Linked DNA regions of Anolis sagrei. The protein of the gene in region 1 interacts with the protein of each later gene in a pairwise test. Links are inferred from orthologs where the notes say so. Each region holds a gene or a part of one and is shown on either strand. Other genes may lie near its edges.

Region 1 (10,912 bases):
TATTTACTGTAAGACTTCAGACTGAAGTGCCCTAAAGCAAGAGTGAGAGGTCTACAATGTTCTCTTTGCCTTAACCCCAATTCCAAATGAAAAAAAATGCTTTTATGAAAATAGCAATCTTAACTATATAGTTCCCCGGTAACTATTAGCAACAAGTTGTTGTGGATATGAGATACAATCAACACCAGTATTCCTCAGTAGGAACCCTGCCATATTTTTGGTTAGCTGCATGAAGATCAGTTTATTTCATCCATCACGAGGCCATCCAGGCCAAGCCGTGCAATCTTTTCCAGCAGGCAACAAGCCTGCAGTACATTGTTGAAAAGGAAGTAATGGAGGAGATCCAGCTCCTTCTCACAAGATTGAGAGGAAAATGGAAAGGTGCATCTCTTGCAGTTATGTTGGACTTTGTAGGTGATCAAAAACATAACTCTTGGCAGAAGGGCTAAGTCTTATGCAACATACGACACTAGTGGTATTTCTATACATCTCAGGTGCCAGCCATTATCACTACTTGATCTTTCCTGGCTCTTCTGAAGCTGAGAACAATGTAAGTGAAGGAGGAGAAGCTGTACAAAGTGAGGAAGGGCCACAGTCAAGACTGGATACACAGATTGGGTAGGCAGCAAATAGGAATCTGGATCTGTGGCTCTGTCCCATTTTAAAGGGATGGCAACATAATTCTTATCTGTTCTTCCTTTTATTGTTATATCAACACACCTTGGTATAAGGGGAGAAAAGGATATAGTGGATTCTGAGTCTGCTGTATCTCTACAACTTGGCTAATGGTAAAACTACATGTTTGCAAAAAAAAAAAAAGTAATAATTCCAGTACTGTATTTCTGAAATCAAATGCCTTCGGATCTCTGCAGACGTCTCTCAAGATGTTATTTCCCCCTGCCAACAAAATTCTGAAACCAGACATACACATGATTGTTTGAAGTCATTTGTAGCTATGAGCCAATTCTGTTTTACAATGATCCCTTACTTAAACTGCACTTTATCAGCACAGATTTGAGAACATACATTTACAATAACAATACAAAAGTAAGCACCTTATGGCTTGAGGTATCACAGTAATTTGGCCAAGATATCCCCACAAATACAGACAAAACACAAATCCTGCATCTAGAAGTGTCCTTGACAGCCCTGCTTTGAGATATGTCATGCATCCAAATGAGGAGATAATGAAGGCGAGGTAGAGCTCTAACTTCAGGAAATCAATAGGAAATGATATATATACACACCACACACACACACACAAAACATGAATGAAAGACTAAAAGGAGACCAGACTGTTGTGGCTAAACAAAATGAAAACATTCTTGAGACAAGGATGTTAAACAAAGACAAAGGATGGAGATTCGTTTACAGGCAGGAAGTAGTGTTGGGAGGAATAAAGATGTTAACCCCAAACCACCATGTGCTCAGCTTGTGGTCCTTGACCTGAGCAAAGTATAAGCAGCAATGGCACCATGGATCCAGATGATGTCATCTCTTAAAATGTAGATTCTAGATAATGTAGTGAGATGCATCGTTTTATAGAGTAAGAGCTGAAGCCCTATCTAACTACTAACTTGTTTCTACAGCTGTAAGACACCAGGCTTTTTTCAGAACCAGGTAAAAGCTGTTTGCTTTTACTCAGCCTCAACATCAAAGCATTCTGTCAATTACAATTTATCGGGAAAAATACTGTGAAACTATACTTGTGAACATAAACAATACTGGAAAGGTCCTTATGATACTGACTAAAGAAGGGTTTGATTGTCCTGTTAAACTTTTGGTTTACATCAGGGACATAGAATTTTATTTCTCCAGACTAACTACTCCTTTCACCATGCTATATACTCCCAACATGCTATAGATGACTGTGATCATTGGCCAGGGTGAATAGCACTGATGGGGAGTTCCCCAACATCTGGAAAGCTCAATTTTCCCATTTCTCTTTACATGGCTTGGCATTTTCCAAAGTGCTGGAAGACATCTGGATTTAAACATCTCCAACACAATGATAAGGCCTTAAAAACAGATATTATGTGAGACAAGCAATTGTGAGGAAATTCTCAATATTTTAAAAGGCTCTTACTTCATTCAAGCTGATAGCTTTTAAAGAGCTGTTAAATATAAAATGTTGCTAGTTTCAAATGGTTGACACTAATTTGCTGGACATTGTGCAAGATCTTCCATGAAAGAACACAATAATAGCTTATCAAATCTCCTGACTTAAATGATGAATCTGTAATTGTGAGAAATGTGTTTTATTGGCTGGTAATAAATAGATTGATTTTTGTTATTGTTACCATTTTATTTTTGCATACTGAAATATGCACTGTAATTCTGTATCTCTACACAAAGCATTTTAGGTATGATTTTTCCAGTTACACAGTTGTTGTTGTTCATTCATTCAGTCGTCTCCATGACCTCATGGACCAGTCCACGCCAGAGCTCCCTGTCGGCCGTCACCACCCCCAGCTCCTTCAAGGTCAGTCCAGTCACTTCAAGGATGCCATCCATCCATCTTGCCCTTGGTCGGCCCCTCTTCCTTTTACCTTCCACCTTCCCCAGCATAATTGTCTTCTCTAGGCTTTGCTGTCTCCTCATGATGTGGCCAAAGTACTTCAACTTCGTTTCTAGTATCCTTCCCTTCAATGAGCAGCCGAGCTTTATTTCCTGGAGGATGGACTGGCTGGATCTTCTCGCAGTCCAGGGCACTCTCAGAACTTTCCTCCAACACCACAGCTCAAAAGCATCTATCTTCCTTCACTCAGCCTTCCCTAAGGTCCAGCTCTCACATCCGTAGGTGACTACAGGGAATACCATGGCTTTGACTAGGCGGATCTTTGTTGCCAGAGTGATGTCTCTACTCTTTACAATTTTGTCGAGATTGGACATTGCTCTCCTCCCAAAAAGTACGCGTCTTCTGAGTTACACAGTACTTGCAAAAATGAGAGATCCTACCCTGGATATTTTTTTAAAATGGTAAATTGGACTGAAAGCACTGTCAGAAAAGGAATACAAAATAAAACTGCCAATAAATACTACACTCACACAGATCTATGGTATGAGGACACTTGGAATAACAGTTCTGGTTACAAAAAGTGCCTCTCAAAATTTATACAGCTGTACAATGATCAAAGGAGTAGAGTAACTCCTCTAAGAGGAAAGAGTATGATATTTGGAGCAGTTTAAGTGAGAGGATGAGGGGAGAAGGTAAAGAGAGATTTATTTATTTATCGTGTCAGAAGTTGATTGAAAATACAGTTATAATGCATTAAAAAAAACACAAAGTGAAAAACTTGGCCAGGGTGAACTTTATACTATAAAATTTATACAAAATTTCCTATGACCAGAAGCTGGCCACTTCGAATGCCTCTGGTTTGGCTGTGAGAAGGCCTTTCTTTCTGCATGTGGCAGTGCTCAGACTGCATTGTAGTAAGTGGTCTGCTCTTCTTCACACTTGCATGTCATGGACTCCACTTTGTGGCCCCATTTCTTAAGGTTGGCTCTGCATCTCGTGGTGCCAGAGCACAGTCTGTTCATCACCTTCCAAGTTACTCAGTCTTCAGTGTGCCCAGGAGTGAGTTTCTCATCAGTCTCGCCCACTGATTGAGGTACCAGGTTTTAGCCTGCTACTTTGGGACTCTCGCTTGCTGAGGTGTCCCTGCGAGTATCTCTGTAGATCTTAGGAAGCTGTTTCTTGATTGAAAGAATTGGCTTGCTGGCTGATATCTGAACAGAGGATGGGCTGGAGATGTCAATGCCTTGGTCCTTTCATTACTGGCTGCTACTTCCTGACGGATCAGGTGGTGTAATACTGGCTAAACAGTATAGTTTCTCCAGTGGCGAAGGGCGTAGACATCCTGTGATACTGTGGCATGTCTCATTAAGAGCCACATCCACTGTTTTAGTGCGGTGAGATGTGTTCCACACTGGACATATGTATTCAGCAGCAGAGTAACAAAGCACAAGGGCAGATGTCTTCACTGTGTCTGGTTGTGATCCCCAGGTTATGCCAGTCAGCTTTTGTACGATATTATTTCCAGCACCCACTTTTTGCTTGGTATTCAGGCAGTGCTTCTTATAAGTTGGAGCACAGACGGGAGTGCCTCCCAGGTATTTGGGTGTGCTGCAATGCTCCAGTGGGATTTCTTCCCAAGTAATCCTCAGCACTTGTCTGTTCTTAAGGTGAAAACCACACGCCTGCATTTTAGATGGATTAGGAATCAGAAGAGGCATGACATTATGCTTGGTGTGATAAATGTTGATAGAAAGAAATGTTCCTACAGGCTTTTTTTTCCTATGAGGAATGGCTTGAGAAACTGCAAGTTGCTTCTGGTGTGAGAGAATTGACCGTTGCCCAGGGGATGCCGGGATGTTTTGATGTTTTACCACCCTTGTGGGATGCTTCTCTCATGCCCCCACACGAGGAGCTGGAGCTGACAGAGGGAGCTCATCCGCGCTCTCCCCGGATTCGAACCTCCGACCTGTCGGTCTTCAGTCCTACCGGCACAAGGCTTTAACCCACTGTGCCACCGAGGGCTCCAGTTCAGTTCAGTTCAGTTCAGTCCAGTCCAGGGGTGTCAAACCGCCTTAATTCTAAGGTGTGTAGATGCACACACACCCCCGACCTGGCCCCGCTCCTCTTTCGGGCCCGTTTCTTCTCTTCCCACGCGACACGAAGGCCTCTTGAAGGAGCCTTGCGGTTGCCTGCTTCCGAGAAACGACCGGCAGCAAAGCAACCAAAAGCATCGCTATAGAGACGCAGCTGCGGAAGGAGCCGGCCAAGACGCCTCCCCCCCCCCTTCCCTCGCTGTTTTGGTTCCCGCCCTTTTGGGTCTCCCTCCCAACTCCTCCTTTAAAGATGGAGCAGCCACCCCGCCGCTTCCCTTGGCCGCATCATTCCAGAAACTTGCATTCATGCAGTTGGATAGCACATCAGACTGTCCTGGCTCACTGCTAGGGAGTCGTGGGAGGTTGTCGTTTCGTGATACGGGGGCCCTCTTGGGCAGAGAAGGGTTAAAATCTTGTCAAACTACAACTCCCCATCTTGAGAACTGGGGCGTCGTCCCTTGCCTTTCGAGGCGGGAGAAGCGGCACGTCCCCCTCTGCGCTGTCTCTTCCACATCCTGCCTCCCACCCGCATAGTTTCCACTCGTGAAAGGGAAACACGAAGGCAGAGTTGGGGACTCTTCGTGTCGGAAACCAACGAGTGACGTTGGGAGTTCACTGTGACCGAAGACTCTCTCTCCGGCTTCCCTGCCTTTGGGTGAATCTCCACTGTAGGATTCACACAGTTCGACACCCATTGAACTCAATGCTTTGGAACCATGGGAGGTTGCAGTCGTACAAGCGGATGCCCCACCAAACGAATCCTTGTGGATTTCAATGGTTTCTTTGTGTAGTCTGGCACGGTGGTTGTTAGAGTGGTCCAGCATTTCTGTGTTCTCAAATATGCTGCCATAGGTGTGGGCGAAACGTAAGGAGAGAATGCTTCTGGAACATGGCCATACAGCCCGGGAAACTAACACCAACTCGATGGGAGTTGAAGTCCAAAACACCTGGAGGACCCAAGTTTGCCCAGGCCTGCTCTATCAGATAGTCATTGAAAAAAAACCATAGCAAATGTGCTGCAGGATGTCCCACAGAAACAAAGTTTTTGTGCACTTTGATAAACGTTTTTCCATGTATTTTTAATGATAGAACCAATTAGGAAACAACCATTTATAAGCCAGGAACAAAAATCGTGTGACATAGTGCAACTCAGGAGGGTTAAGAGACTTATTTCCCTCCTTTCTCCTTTCCTCCCTTTTTCCCTTCCTTCTCTCCCTCCTTCCCTCTCTCCTTCTTTTCTTCCTTCCTTCTTTCCTTCCTCCCCTTCCATCCCCTCCTTCCTTCCTTCTCTCCCTCCCTTTCCCTCCCTCTTTCTTTCCTTCCCTCCCCCCCTCCTTCCTTTTTCCTCCTCCCTTCTTTCCTTCCCTCCCTCCTTTTCTCCTTCCTTCCCTCCTTTTCCCCTTCCTTCCCTCTCCTTCCTTTTTCCCCTCCTTCCTCCTTTCCTCCCTCCCCCTTCCCTCCTTCCTTCCTTCCTTCCTTCCTTCCTTCCTTCCCTTCTTCCCTCCCTCCCTCCCTCCCTCCCTCCTTGGCGCGCTTTTGAGAGTTTGCTGCTTGCGAGTTGCATTCCGCACTCAGTTCAGACGGGCTGGTGTAGACAATAATTAGAGCCAGGGAAGCGACCCCGCTTTCAAGAGAGGCTCTCATTTTCCCAACAAAGACCGCCAGTGAGTTTTCTTCCTGGCAGCCTCGAAAGGGGGGAGGAGGAGGAGGAGGAGAGGGGAAAGGCGGGGAGGGGAGAGAGAGAGAGAGAGAAGTTGAAGAAGTCGGGCGGAAAGTGAGTGGGAGGGGGAAGGCTGCTGCCTCTGCCTGGGAGCGTGGGGATGCGCCCCGGCCTGTGTGCGAGGAGGGGCCCATGGAGATGATCGAGCTGCGGGCGCTGCGGCCGGAGCGGGCCCTGGACCTGACGGAGCCTCGCCCCGCCGTCCGCCTGGAGCGGGCCAACGCGCTGCGGATCTCGCCCAAGGGGAAGGTGCCCGAGATCCTCAGCCGCGTCCGCCTCATCCGCCTCCGCGGCGGGCAGCGCGACCCCCGCCTGACCGAGGAGCTGGGCGAGGGGCACCGCTTCCGGCCCTGCGCCCAGAGCCAGCCCACCTGGTGCGACCTCTGCGGGGAGTTCATCTGGGGCGCCTCCAAGAAGACCCTCCAGTGCCTCCGTGAGTACCCGCGCCTCTCCCACCCTCAGCCAGGGGCCAACTTCGGCCCTCCGGGTGTTTTGGACGACAACTCCCGCCATTCCTAACAGCCTACCGGCTGTTACCGAAGTTGGCCCACGAGGCCTAAATACCCAAAAGCATCCCCCAAACTTTTGTTTTGGCTCTGTTTTTCAATTTCTCACATGTGGAGATATTAGAGGCCAGGCAGCTGGCACCAGATCCTATCTGATCTTGGCATCTAAGCAGGGTCATCCTTGGTTAGTGCTTGGATGGGAGACTGCCAACCAGTGCCAGCTGCTGTTGACTGTATTTCTGAATCAAGAACTAGCAGAACCACCTCTGAATATTCCTTGCCTAAGAATCCTATGAAATTCATGGGGTCACCTTAAGTTGACAAGCAACCCCACTGGAAGGCACATACAAATACACCTATTACAACCTCATCACACTCGAGCATGTATCCACTTTAAGGTCAAGGTTTCCCTTGACATTAAGTCTACCTCTGGGTTGTGGTGCTCATCTCCATTTCTAAGTGTAAAAGTCAACATTGTCCGTAGACGCCTCCAAGGTCATGTGGGTGGCATGACTACAAGGAGCCCGGTTAACTTCCCGCAGAAGCGGTACCTATTAATCTACTCACATTTGTATGTATTCAAACTGCTAGGTTGGCTGAAGCTGGGGCTAACAATGGGAGCTCATCCCATTTGGCGGATTCGAACTGCAGACCTTCTGGTCAGTAAGTTCTGCAGCTTAGAGGTTTAACCCACTGAGCCACCGCAGCCCCTTTGTACAGAATTCTGGGACTTGTAGTTTAGGTAGGAGCCTTTAAACTGCTCATCCAGAAAAGCCATAGGCCTCCCTAAACTACACACCGCAGCATTCTGCAGGAGACAGTCACAACTTTTAAAGTAGATCGAAGTGGATCGATGCTCAAGTGTGATGAGGCTCTTAAGGCAGAAGCTCAGCAGGAACCACCCCTTTCATGTTTTCCTCACTAGTGGAAGAAATGTGTGTGTCTGCCTTGCAGCAGTATGAAAAGATAGAAATTGTACTTGATGCACAATTGGTCATACAAGCTGTTTTATTTTTGTAAGCAATCCAGACTGAATATTAGGAAGAAATTGAGTACTTGATTTTTAAAAAAAGAATGTCCATAAATCCTGTACTAGAAGTGTGTGCCGTCCCTAATTCTTCTAATATTTGATAGTTTTCATACACTCAGGAGTTTTGTCTCTTTTGTAGTAAGTCTATACTTTTTTGTGCATTCTCTTATTTCAACTCCTAGCAACAAAGCTAAAGCACAGAGAGAGAAATGATAGTTGGAGTTGTTTTTAAAGGACATTATGTATTGGATCAAAGTTTGCATGAAAGCGTTGCTTGCAAATTTTGTAGAATTTTCAACTCTAGGAGGAAAAGTGATTAGATTCGCAGTGGTTCTCAACTTGTGGGTCCCCAGATGTTTTGGCCTTCAACTCCCAGAAATCCTAACACTTGATAAACTTGCTCGGATTTCTGGGAATTGTAGACCAAAACACCTGGGGATCCACAGGCTGAGAACCACTGCTAGAGCTAAAATGAAACAGAGTGTTCAGAATTGGCCCATGACCTTGGCCACCCCACCACAGTCAACCCCAAATAGAATGAGTACTTCCTGCTCTGCGTCACCCATAAACTTTCTGGTATTTTTTGCAATTTTGGTGAGAATACATTTTGACAGGTAGTACAATGATTTATTTAGTGACTCTGAATGTAAGGTTCTTCAGAGTCCCTATGGCAACCTGTGTATTAGTCCAAAATATGTCACAGCAGCCCTGGTACATTTGGAAGCTGTCCTGCTCATTCTGCTCAGCAGTATCCTCAGCTTCTGCCCAATCTTGTTCCTGGAGAACATCACTGACTTTGGCTGAAATGTCCCTACCAAAGTTTCCAAAGTCTGTGCCTTCTGGTAGCACAATTCAAAGCATGTCTACAAACCATGAAGTTCAACTAATGTTAGTAAGGCTTTCTTTTAAAGGCGTATGCACAGGATTGCAACTTTAAACCCCAAAAAAGCCTAAAAATATACATTTAAAAATACATTTTAGGCATATAGACTTATTTGACAACTGACTTTTTCTGTATGGAATATAGCACATGAAAGGCTATACGAATGGAAAGGTCAATTGTACTTTGGATGAATATATTTAGAAAATACAATGTTGTTGTCACTATTATTACTATCTGCTCTTTGAAGCGGTCAGGGGTCTTTTCCACACATGCCCAAAAAAGGAAAACCCAAACCACTCAACAATTTGCTTGGCTCTTTGCAGATCTAGTCATTCATATCTGCTTTGACTTGGATGCTGTATTAATATAGATTCAGTGGATGAAACTTTGGCCCGTGTTTGTCCAGTAGCAATCAGTACTTTTCAATTTGTGCAATCCAAGAATGTGAACAGGATTCTTAGAGAGATGAAAGCCACCACATGCAGGTTAGATTAAGGCCCTCACTGGCATATTTTTAAAAAAGGTAGTAGGGGACTGGCTGAAGGAGTAGAGAGATTAATGTCTCATTAAAATAAAGCAAACCTCCAGCTTGCCTGAAGGTGTCTGATATAAAGTCAACAACAACAACGACAGCAACGACAACAACAACAACAACACCCTCCCTGGATCACACCATTCTAAATAACTATTAGCCAGTCTCTAATATTCAATTTCTGTGAAAAGTTCTGGAGTTTGTAGTGGTCCCTCAGTTCCAGGAGTTTCTGGATGAAGCAGATCATTTAGATTAATTTCAATCTAACTTCAGACTTGGTCATGGGGCAAAGACAGTTTTATCACTTTAGTGGATGACCTATGCAGGGAGCTAGACAAGAGGGGGCGTTTTTTCCCTGTTGGTTCCTTCAGTGGATGGCAAAACTGCTCTTCAGGCAGTTAAGAACAGACAAGAAGATGACAGAAATAAAGTCAGAATCCTGAATGCAACAGTTCAGCAACTTGTGTGCAGGTACTATAATAACACTACTTAACAAACTGTGAAAAATGTTCTGTTCCTGGTTTGAAAGTGTTATTTCATCTTTAATTGTGCGGTAGTAAAAAATAAAGGTAAAGGTTTACTTTTTAGTCTAGTCCTATCCGACTCTGGGAGGTGGTGCTCATCTCTATTTCTAAGCCGAAGAGTCTGAGTTCGGTTCATGTGGCTGGCATGACTGCACGGAGCGCTGTAACCTTCCCGCCAGAGTGGTACCTATTGATCTACTCACATTTGCATGTTTTCAAACTGCTAAGATGGTAAAAGCTAGGGCTAACAGCAGGAGATCATCCCTCTCCATGGATTTGAACTGCCAACCATTCAGTCAGCAAATTCAGCAACTCAGCGGTTTAACCTGCTGTGCCACTGGGTACTTACTTTGAAAGTAGTTGCTCTACTCCAGAAACTTCATTTTTGTGGCTGCCACAAACTATACTGAATTGGTTTAGACTCAATAACATATTAATTGAAAAAACTATATTATTATTATATTTATTTATTTATACTCTGCTTTGTCTCCAGGATGTCCCACAAAAACAAAGTTTTTACAGTTTAATATTTTTTCCTTGTTTCCATATAATAGAAATGAAATGTAATAGAAAGGAAATGACATTTATAACCCAGGAACAAAATCGTGTTACATAATGTAATCAAGGCAGAGAAATAGAAGGTAACAACAAAAAGGAAGAACAAAGGACGTCTTCCACAGGATCTGAGAAATGAAAGGAAAATATAAACCAAAAGTGGAGATGCTGTATGGCTAGCAGGGGGAACATATTATATGGTGAAGTAGAAACAAAAGAATAATGGAAACAGTAAATAGAACTGTCTAAATAAGATGAAATGTTGACAGATTAATTGAAAGAAGAACCACATGGAAATGAACCTTCAATTTTAGAAAGTGAAGTAGAGAGTAAAGTGAATCAGCACTTGGAAAAATAAATCACTAGGAACAGATGGTATACCAATAGAGTTGCTTCTGTCTACAGAGACAGAATCTACTCTAATTTTAATGAAATTCTGTCAACAAGTATGGAAATTAAAACAATGGTCCACAGATTGGAAATGAATTAATTTCACATGAAAGCAAAGTGGTGCTCAAATTTCTTTAGCAAAGGCTTTTTACCATGTAGTC
Region 2 (10,027 bases), on another chromosome or scaffold:
ATTATCAAAGCAGATAATCTACACTATCTGCTTTGAACTGAATTATATGAGTCTACACTGCCATATAATCCAGTTCAAATAAGATAATCTGGATTTTATATGGTAGTGCTAATCTAGTCTGGGATGGGCAACACCTGAGACAAAGCTGGCAATCAAGATCCATTGTGTACATTTTCTGGACAACAGGTGGCTTCCTTTGCAAGATCTGATAATTTCTGGCCGGTACTCATCCAGCTGATCACTCAACAGCTGACCGTGGAAACAGGAACTCCCAAGTGTACATGCATACAAGATTCCTGTGTCTGGCCCCCAAGGCTTGATAGAAGAGGATCATCACCTTTTGTCTCAGGGTACCTCACCTTCACTGTTCCCAGGAAACTTTCTTAATCACTCAACAATTAGACAGTGAAAACAATCAATGACTTATTTGCATTTCCAGAGGTGGACACAGACTTTCCAAGACTCGTCTCATTCCAGAAAAGCTGCCCCTCAACAGCTGATTGGCACTCCCCAGATCAATCCCTTCCAGGGGAATCCCTGCATGGAGGTGACAAGTCATAGAGACAGCGGCCAATGGGAGCCCGGATCCAAACCAGCTCTTCCTCTAGCCAATCAGGGAAGGGAGTCGGTGGAGCAAGAAAGTTTAAATAGCTGTCAAGTTTATAAAGTCTTGTGTCTCTGTATTCGCGAACATGTGTGTATTTTTGGTGCTAGCTGTACACGTAAATATCTGGCCAGGTTGCAAATAAGCCTCTGTTACTGCTTTCAGTCTTGGTGAGTGTGCTTTCAATTGGGAAAAATCTGGTTTAGCATAAAGCTCGCCGGGCAGGGACGTGCATTACCGTGGTCCTTACTCTAAATTTGATCCCATATTTAATGCAGTTCAATGTAGTTAAACTGCATTATGAAATTGTATTATAGGGTAATGTAGATGGAAACTCAGGAACAAACTTAATTTTTGTCACTATAGGGTAATGCTCAGTCATTTCTTTTTTGAGACGTCTTTTTTGAGACGTCTCGCTAATGACATCATCACAATAACACCCTGATTTTCACCAGCAGTCTGTCAAATAAGAATCCCACTGGATGGTATGCATTTGCTAGCAGATATTGTAGAAATTTCCCTTACGTAGCAGAACCATATATGCAGATTATCAATCTGTTTATTGAACTGTAAATGCAGATTGTACATTACTGTGCATCTTCTTACAGTCCATCTTCTTTTTATTTTTCCCTGGGCCCCTTAGTTACATCTGGTCTCTCAGTGTGAATAAGATTACTAAAGCTGATAAGGGAACAGACTTCTGCTCTGCCTGTTTTCTCTTTCTTTGGTTTAGTTCTAGACAAATGTAGCCAAGGTTATTGGCTGATTTATGTGGTGCATTCTCTTCAACAGGGCAAGGTTCTCTAACACCATACTTCGAATCCTCCTCACACCCAATGCAGAGCGAGCGTGTCAGATTTCCATCTCTCATTGTTGCAGTTTCATGTTTCTGACACTAATGTTCATGAATAAAGAGACTGCATTTCTCTTTCTCTCTCATCCAGGTCTTCAATAATAGAGGGAAACGGATAAACCATGACATTGATGTGATGGAAATCAATGTGGCTGGCTATTCTATTCTACTGATATAAAGAAAGCAACAAAAAAGAGGTGGGGAGGGATGGATGGATGATTATTCGCAGTCTGATCAGGAATTCCTTAAATGTAAGGTTTTATTTCATAAGGGAAAAAACTCCTACTGTATATACCCTAACCTAAGGTTTGATCTACACTGCTCTATATTCCAGGATCTGATCCCAGATTATTTGTTTTGAACTGGATAATATGAGTCTACACTGCCAGATAATATAAGTAGATAATCTGGGGTCAGATTCTGGGATGTAGCACAGTGTAGATTCAGCTTCAGGCTCCTTCTACACAGTTATATAATCTATCTTTGACTGGATTATATAGCAGTACAGACTCATATAATCCAGTTCAAGGCAGATAATGTGGATTATCTGCTTCGATAATCTAGATTGTATGACAGTGTAGAAGGGGCCTGAGTCTACACTACCATATAATAGATTTCAAAGAAGATAATCTGGATTTTATATGGCAGTGTAGAAGGGGCCATAGTCATGCTTTAGTAACACTGTGGATCAATTGCTATGATGCTTGATTTTCAGTTTGAAGAAGGAAATTCCTTTGATTGTTTATTTCTTTAGTATAAGTATATTTAACCAGAAGCAAATAGTATTTTCATTTTTTCCTGCACTTCAAATGCCAGATTATTGTGATGTTAAAATTAGGTAACAGGAAAAGGCCACTAAAGGGATGTATTTGGTCATGAAAAATCAGCCGCTTGACAGTTCATAATAACCATACAGCTGTATAAAATCCACATTGAACCAGATTATACGGCAGTGTGACTCAGATAATCCAGTTCAAAGCAGATATTGTGGATCATCTGCCTTGATATTCTGGGTTATATGCCTATGTGGGAGGGCCCTTAGATTTTATGTTTTACTTCCAGGAAAGATGCGTGCCTCCTTTTCTATCTGAGGGCCATTCCACACAGCCCCATATCCCAGAATATCAAGGCAGAAAATCCCAAAATATCTGCTTTGAACTGGGTTAGCTGAGTCCACATTGGCATATATTCCAGTTCAAAGCAGATAATGTGGGATTTTCTGCCTTGATATTCTGGGATATGGGGCTGTGTGGAAGGGTCCTGAGGAACCAAAATAATCCAACTGGCCTAGGCCAGGGCTTCTACACTCACAAGCTCTTTCATCCTGAGAAATCTTTATGTGATCTCAGATATATATGTATATATAAAACATTTACTGATTTGCAAGGCTTGCTAAACAGCCTGGTTTCCCTTTTTATAACAACAACAATAATAACTATAATATATAATGTATAATAAATAATAATAATTATTATTATTTATTATACATTATATATTATAGTTATATTTATAATATAAATAATATAAATATTAGAACAAATGCCATCAAAGCCAGAATTGAAAAGTCGATGACAGATCCCAAATGCAGACTCTGCAAGGAAGCAGATGAAACAATAGATCACATCCTCAGCTGCTGCAAGAAGATCGCATAGACAGACTACAAACAGAGGCATAATACCGTTGCTCAGATGATTCATTGGAACCTGTGCCATAAATACCACCTGCCTGTGGTAAAGAACTGGTGGAATCACAAGCCGGAAAAAGTTACAGAAAATGAACATGTCAAACTACTCTGCGACTTCCGAATTCAGACAGACAGAGTTTTATGGATTGTCAATCTTGCAATCCTAGATGACAGCAGGATTGAAGAGAAACAACTGGAAAAGCTGACATGATATGAGGATATAAAGATTGAACTGCAAAGACTCTGGCACAAGCCGGACAAGGTGTTCCCAGTGGTGATCGGCACAGTGGGTGCAGTGCCTAAAGACCTTGGCCTGCACTTAAACACAATCAGCGCTGACAAAATTACCATCTGTCAGCTGCAAAAGGCCACCCTACAGGGATCTGCATGCATTATTCACCGATGCATCACACAGTCCTAGACACTTGGGAAGTGTCCAATGTGTGATCAAATACAACAGCCAGCAAAGTGTTTTTGTTTGCTGTGGACTCATCTTGTATTTCACATAATAATAATATAATAACTTTATTTCTATACCCTCCCTCCATCTCCTTGAAGGGACTCGGGGCAGTTTACATGAAACCAAGCCCAGTCAACAGTTAAAACATAACATGCAATAATCAATATAAAATGCAATAATCAATATAAAAACAACATAAGCAACATTATAAAAAACAATAAAACAAGCATCAGGAACAACCACCAATTCAAGTCTCATTGTAGGAGGATGGTCTGGTACAACAATTTAATGGTAGGTCTAATGTGTATAGGTGATAAAGCAGCAAAAGGATAAGAGCTGCACTATTTCTCAGAGAAGGCTAAACCCCTGATAAAACTACAACTAGACAATTAAGACTTTGGATAGAAAAGTAGTAAGGGGAAAGGACAAGATCTTTTTTATGAAGTGCGGCAGCCGCATCTTCTACTGAGCCCACTGTAAATGCTGCACAACAGGTTCATGTAAATGTCTAAAACAGCCACTAGGTGGCATTTGGAAAACTTTTACATGGCCAATTTTTTTAATGACCCATTTGGGGTTGGTACCCATTGTTTAAGAAACAGGGCTTCTTAAACTTTTCCACCCGTTTTGGCCTGAAAACATTTTATGTGACCCCAGATATTGAAGAATAAAATAAGTATAAAAACCAAACATTTACTGAAAAGAAATCAGCATTTGCAAGGCTTGCTAAACAGTTTGAGCATCCCTCATCCTGAAATTATCTAAATGGGTGACAGAGTGCGTCTACACCGGGCATGGACAAACTTCATCCCTCCAGCTGTTCTGGACTACAACTCCCACTATTCCTAACAGCCTCAGGCCCCTTCCTTTTCACCCTCAGCCGCTTAAGCGGCTGAGGGTGAAAAGGAAAGGGCCTGACGCTGCTAGGAATTGTGGGAGTTGTAGTCCAGAACATCTGGAGGGATGAAGTTTGCCCATGCCTAGTCTACACTGTAGGATTAATTCAGTTTGATACCACTTTAATTGCTATGGCTCATTGCTATGGAATCCTGGGAGTTGTGGTTTGCATTATTTCTCAGAGAAGGCTGAACACCTGATAAAGCTACAGCTTTCAAGATTCCACAGTATTCAGCCATAGCAGTTGAAAGGGTGTCAAAGTGGATCAACTCTACAGTGTAGATGCATCCTAAAACAGTGACATCTTTGCATCTTTGTGTTATGATGGTTCAGTGTGCACAAAATTATTACAAAACATGGTATACAATAATCCTCAGGCGAGGTGTACCAGGTGTATATCAATCCAGGTGTATAAAAATCACTCTCCTAGGTTCCTGTAGGTTTTTTCGGGCTATAGGGCCATGTTCTAGAGGCATTTCTCCTGACGTTTCGCCTGCATCTATGGCAAGCATCCTCAGAGGTAGTGAGGTCTGTGGAAATAGGAAAATGGGTTTATATATCTGTGGAATGACCAGGGTGGGACAAAGGACTCTTGTCTGCTGGAGCTAGGTGTGAATGTTTCAGCTGACCACCTTCATTAGCATTTGAAGGCCTGGCTGAGCCTGGGGAAATGTTCTGTTGAGAGGTGTTAAGATGTGCCTGGTTGTTCCCTCTCTGCGGTTTTGCTGTTGAGTCCTGTTTTATGATGAGCAAAGACTACATTGCCCAGCATGCACCGTTCCCCATTGGGAGACCATATTGGCGCGGTGCATGATGGGCAAAAGAGCCCTTACGGCCCTCCGTCGATGACGTATTACGATGACGTAATCCCTCCCTTCTGGTCCCTCCTGGCCATTGAGTCCCTTCGTAGATTCACCGGGCCTGAAGCAACTTTCTCTTCCGCTTTCTGGCTTTCCGACTGGCTTTTGCGAGGGCCAATAGCCGTTAAGCAGAACCCCCTTGCAGCCAATAGGAAGGGTTGTGGGTGGGCCAACGCTTGAGTGGCAGAGGGGTTGCGATTGAAGTGCGGCTCCGGAAGAGGAGGGGGCGTTTTAAAGGGCCAGCAGCGGGCGAAAGTTGTGAGGAGAGTTTCTGAAGGGGATCCTTCCTCGGCCAGGCCCAGTCAGGGGGACCTGCGGAGCCGCTGGCGTCAGGATGGAGCAGGCCGCGCCGAAAAGGTAACAGCCAGCGGCCTCCCTTTCTCCCCGGGGAAGGGGAAGAGGCGGGCGGGTGGGGACGAGGCTTTCCTTGGGCGCCAGGAGGAAGGAAGCCGGGCTAGGCCGCACCGCAGCTCTGCTTTGATTCCCCCGGGAGGCCTTCTCCCTCCAGAGGCCTCGCTCTGGCCCTGTGTTGGAGGGACTTTGGGGTCACAAGGAGGCACCCCGCCATCTATAAACACATTCATTGAATTCAGTAGGAGCAGAAGGAGAGAGAACTTCAGTAAAGGGGGGGGGGGTGCCCTTTCACTTTAAATAATCAAAATCATAGTTTATTGTCCAAGACATTCATGGCCTGAATCACTGGGTTGTTGTAGGTTTTTTCGGGCTATATGGCCATGGTCTAGAGGCATTCTCTCCTGACGTTTCGCCTGCATCTATGGCAAGCATCCTCAGATGTAGTGAGGTCTGTTGGAATTGAGAAAAGGGATTTATATATCTGTGGAATGACCAGGGTGGGACAAAGGATTCTTGTCTGCTGGAGCTAGGTGTGAATGTTTCAAATGACCACCTGTTTCAAATAATCAAAATCATAGTTTATTGTCGAAGGCTTTCATGGCCTGAGTCACTGGGTTGTTGTAGGTTTTTTTGGGCTATATGGTCATGGTCTAGAGGCATTCTCTCCTGACGTTTCGCCTGCATCTATGGCAAGCATCCTCAGAAGTAGTGAGGTCTGTTGGAATTAAGAAAAAGGGTTTATATATCTGTGGAATGACCAGGGTGGGACAAAGGATTCTTGTCTGCTGGAGCTAGGTGTGAATGTTTCAAATGACCACCTTGACAGTGGCTTGACAGTGCCTAGAGCAGTATTTCTCAACCTGGGGGTCGGGACCCCTGAGGGGGTTGCTAAGGGATGTCAGAGGGGTCACCAAAGACCATCAGAAAACACAGTATTTTCTGATGGTCATGGAATTCCATGTGGGAAGTTTGAGCCAATTCTATCGTTGGTGGAGTTCAGAATGCTCTTTGATTGTAATAAACTATAAATCCCAGCAACTACAACTCCCAAAAGTCAAGGTCTATTTTCCCCAGGCTCCACCAGTGTTCACATTTGCGCATATTGAGTATTTGTGCCAAGTTTGGTCCAGATCCACCATTGCGTGAGGCCACAGTGCTCTCTGGATATAGGTGAACTACAACTCCCAAACTCATGGTCAATACCCACCAAACCCTTCCAGTGTTTTCCATTGGTCATGGGAGTTCTGTGTGGCAAATTAGGTTCAAATCCATCGCTGGCGGAGTTCAGAATGCTCTTTGATTGTAGGCGAACTATAAATCCCAGCAACCACAACTCCCAAATTACAAAATCAATCATCCCCCAACCCCACTTACATGTGGGTGCATTGGGTATTTGTGCCCAGTTTGGTCCAGTGAATGAAAATACATCTTGCATATCTAATATTTACATTATGATTTATAACAGCAGTAAAATGGCTGTTATGAAGTAGCAACGAAAACAATGTTATAGTTGGGGGTCACCACAACATGAGGGACTGTATTAAGGGGTCGCGGCATTAGGAAGGTTGAGAACCACTGGCCTAGAGCTTGACAGTGCCTAGAGCTTAGCCGGTATTGCACCACCTGACATCCGCCGAGAAGTAGCACCCAATAGTGAAAGGGCCAAGGCAGAGACATCTCCAGCTCATCCCCTGTTTGGGTATCAGCCAGCACGTCAATGACTTAAATCAAGACATAGTTTTCTTAGATCTACAGAGACACTCGCTGGAACACCTCAGCAAGCGAGAGTCCAAAAGTGGCAGGCCTAAACCCAGCACCTCAATCCATGGGTGATACCAGATGAGAGACTCCCCCCTGGGCACACAGAAGACTGGGCGACTTGGAAGGCGCTGAACAGACTGCGCTCTGGCACCACGAGATGCACCACGAGATGCAGAGCCAATCTTAAGAAATGGGACTACAGGGTGGAAACCACGGCATGCGAGTGCGGAGAAGAACAAACCACTGACCACCTGCTGCAATGCACCCTGAGCCCTGCCACATGCACAATGGAGGACCTCCTTGCGGCAACACCAGAGGCACTGCAAGTGGCCAGATACTGGTCAAAGGACATTTAATCAACTACCAAGTTTTTTGTTTTTTTTAATCTGCGTGTTTGTTTTGTTCTGTTAGAAATGTAATACAGTGGTATGGTTGCTGATGACACGATAGATAAATAAATAAATAATGCCTAGAGCAAACTTTTGTTGAGAGATGATTAGATGTCCTTGTTTGTTTCCTCTCTGTTGTTGTGCTGTTGTAATTTTAGAGTTTTTTTTAATACTGGTAGCCAGATTTTGTTCATTTTCATGGTTTCCTCCTTTCTGTTGAAATTGTCCACATGCTTGTGGATTTCAATGGCTTCTCTGTGTAGTCTGACATGGTGGTTGTGAGAGTGGTCCAGCACTTCTGTGTTCTCAAATAATATGCTGTGTCCAGGTTGGTTCATCAGGTGCTCTGCTATGGCTGACTTCTCTGGTTGAAGTAGTCTGCAGTGCCTTTCATGTTCCTTGATGCGTGTCTGGGCGCTGCATTTGGTGGTCCCTATGTAGATTTGTCCACAGCTGCATGGTATACGGTAGACTCCTGCAGAGGTGAGAGGATCATCTAACCACCTCTCAACAAAAGTTTGCTCTAGGCACTGTCAGGCCATTATATGCTAATCAAAGTGGTCAGTTGAAACATTCACACCTAGCTCCAGCAGACAAGAATCCTGTGTCTCACCCTGGTCATTCCACAGATATATAAACCCTTTTTCCTAGTTCCAACAGACCTCACTACCTCTGAGGATGCTTGCCACAGATGCAGGCGAAACGTCAGGAGGGAATGCCTCTAGACCATGGCCATATAGCCCGAAAAAACCTACAACAACCCAAAATCATAGTTCTTGGGGTCACAGTGAGGCATTCCACCATTTATAGGCATATGTACTAATTGGGTTTACAAAGAAAGATATGCTTAGATACAAGAAATAGTATGTTATTGTTATATTTGAAACATCAAATGTTTTATATCATTCGACAGGTTTTTTTTAACTTATGTAAACAACATAAAGGAACAAATCTTATATCTATTGTAAATAAACGTCAGTAAATAAATTTCAAATGGGAGCCATCAATCTCCTCTTAATTAACATAGTAATCAGCAAGACTGCTTATAACAAGGAATTGGAAAAGAGAAATAAATAAAGAAATAGAGGAGTGGTACAAGGAAGTGTGGAAATTAGCAATAAATGATAAGCTGACATGTATATTAAAAGTTAAAAGGAGGTATATGGAAACAAAGTGATTTTGATTATGTATGGAGGAAATGTATTGAAAAAGGATTTAAAAAGAAAGAGGGAAAGGCACCTCCACAAGAGGAACTGAAATTTAGGACAGATGATATGTAAAAGTTGTGGCTTGGGGTGGGTGGGGTGGGGAGGGGAGCACAGTGGTGAGAATAGATAATATGTATAAGCAGAAAAATAAAGGTAGATGCCAAAAGTTAAAGTATGGTAGGTTGTATTGAATAATATGAATCTGCTGTAAAATAATGTATAACAAATGTAAAATAAATAAATGAATAGATATGGGGCCACAAAGTGGAGTCCACGACATGCAAGTGTGGAGAAGAGCAGACCACGTATTACAATGCAGCCTGAGACCTACCACATGAACAGTGGAGGACCTTCTCACAGCCACACCAGAGGCAATCCAAGTGGCCAGATTCTGGTCAAAGGACATTTAGTATAATGCCAAGGGTTTTTTTTTAAGTGTTCTTTTTTAAATGCATTGCAACTGTACCCTTGGTTTGCTCCCGATACGATAAATAAAAATTATGGTCCAAAGACAAAAACAAAAACAAAAAAACACAGTAATCCAATATATTGACAGAATATGTCTAATGATTCAAATAGTCAGTTTAAGATATCTTGGAGGACCATTTGTTGCATACAAAGTTGTAGTAGTGTCAGAGAAGAGTTCTACGAGGTGACAAAGGTTACTACAAGGTATGCTGGGTAGTTCTACGAGGTGACAAAGGTTACTACAAGGTTGTTTCGGTGTTTGTAGTAGGAACACCTTCCTCAGGTCATTGATTCTTCTCTGTTCCTTTCAGTGGTATTCTAGTAGTAGTAAAGTCTCTGGCACTACATTTACATGTATAAAAAGGAACCTTAACATACATAATATATATATACCATAGCACCCCAGTTATTGCACAGTATCAAAATTAAATCAGTCAATGATCAATGCAAAATAACCAAAGCAATATTCATATGACTTACATTTCAGTA

The links.
Region 2: the proteins of RASSF1 (region 1) and STK3 interact in binary tests that used the Homo sapiens proteins (3 or more experiments, as listed by UniProt). The link is inferred for Anolis sagrei from reciprocal best matches to the Homo sapiens genes RASSF1 and STK3.

Annotation. Positions count from the first base shown.
Region 1 is NC_090022.1:72,794,901-72,805,812, forward strand, and holds the start of RASSF1 (ras association domain-containing protein 1), read left to right. Parts: upstream 1-6,358; 5' UTR 6,359-6,463; coding exon 6,464-6,764; intron 6,765-10,912. UniProt on the Homo sapiens protein: Potential tumor suppressor. Required for death receptor-dependent apoptosis. Mediates activation of STK3/MST2 and STK4/MST1 during Fas-induced apoptosis by preventing their dephosphorylation.
Region 2 is NC_090024.1:31,779,141-31,789,167, forward strand, and holds the start of STK3 (serine/threonine-protein kinase 3), read left to right. Parts: upstream 1-5,389; 5' UTR 5,390-5,692; coding exon 5,693-5,715; intron 5,716-10,027. UniProt on the Homo sapiens protein: Stress-activated, pro-apoptotic kinase which, following caspase-cleavage, enters the nucleus and induces chromatin condensation followed by internucleosomal DNA fragmentation.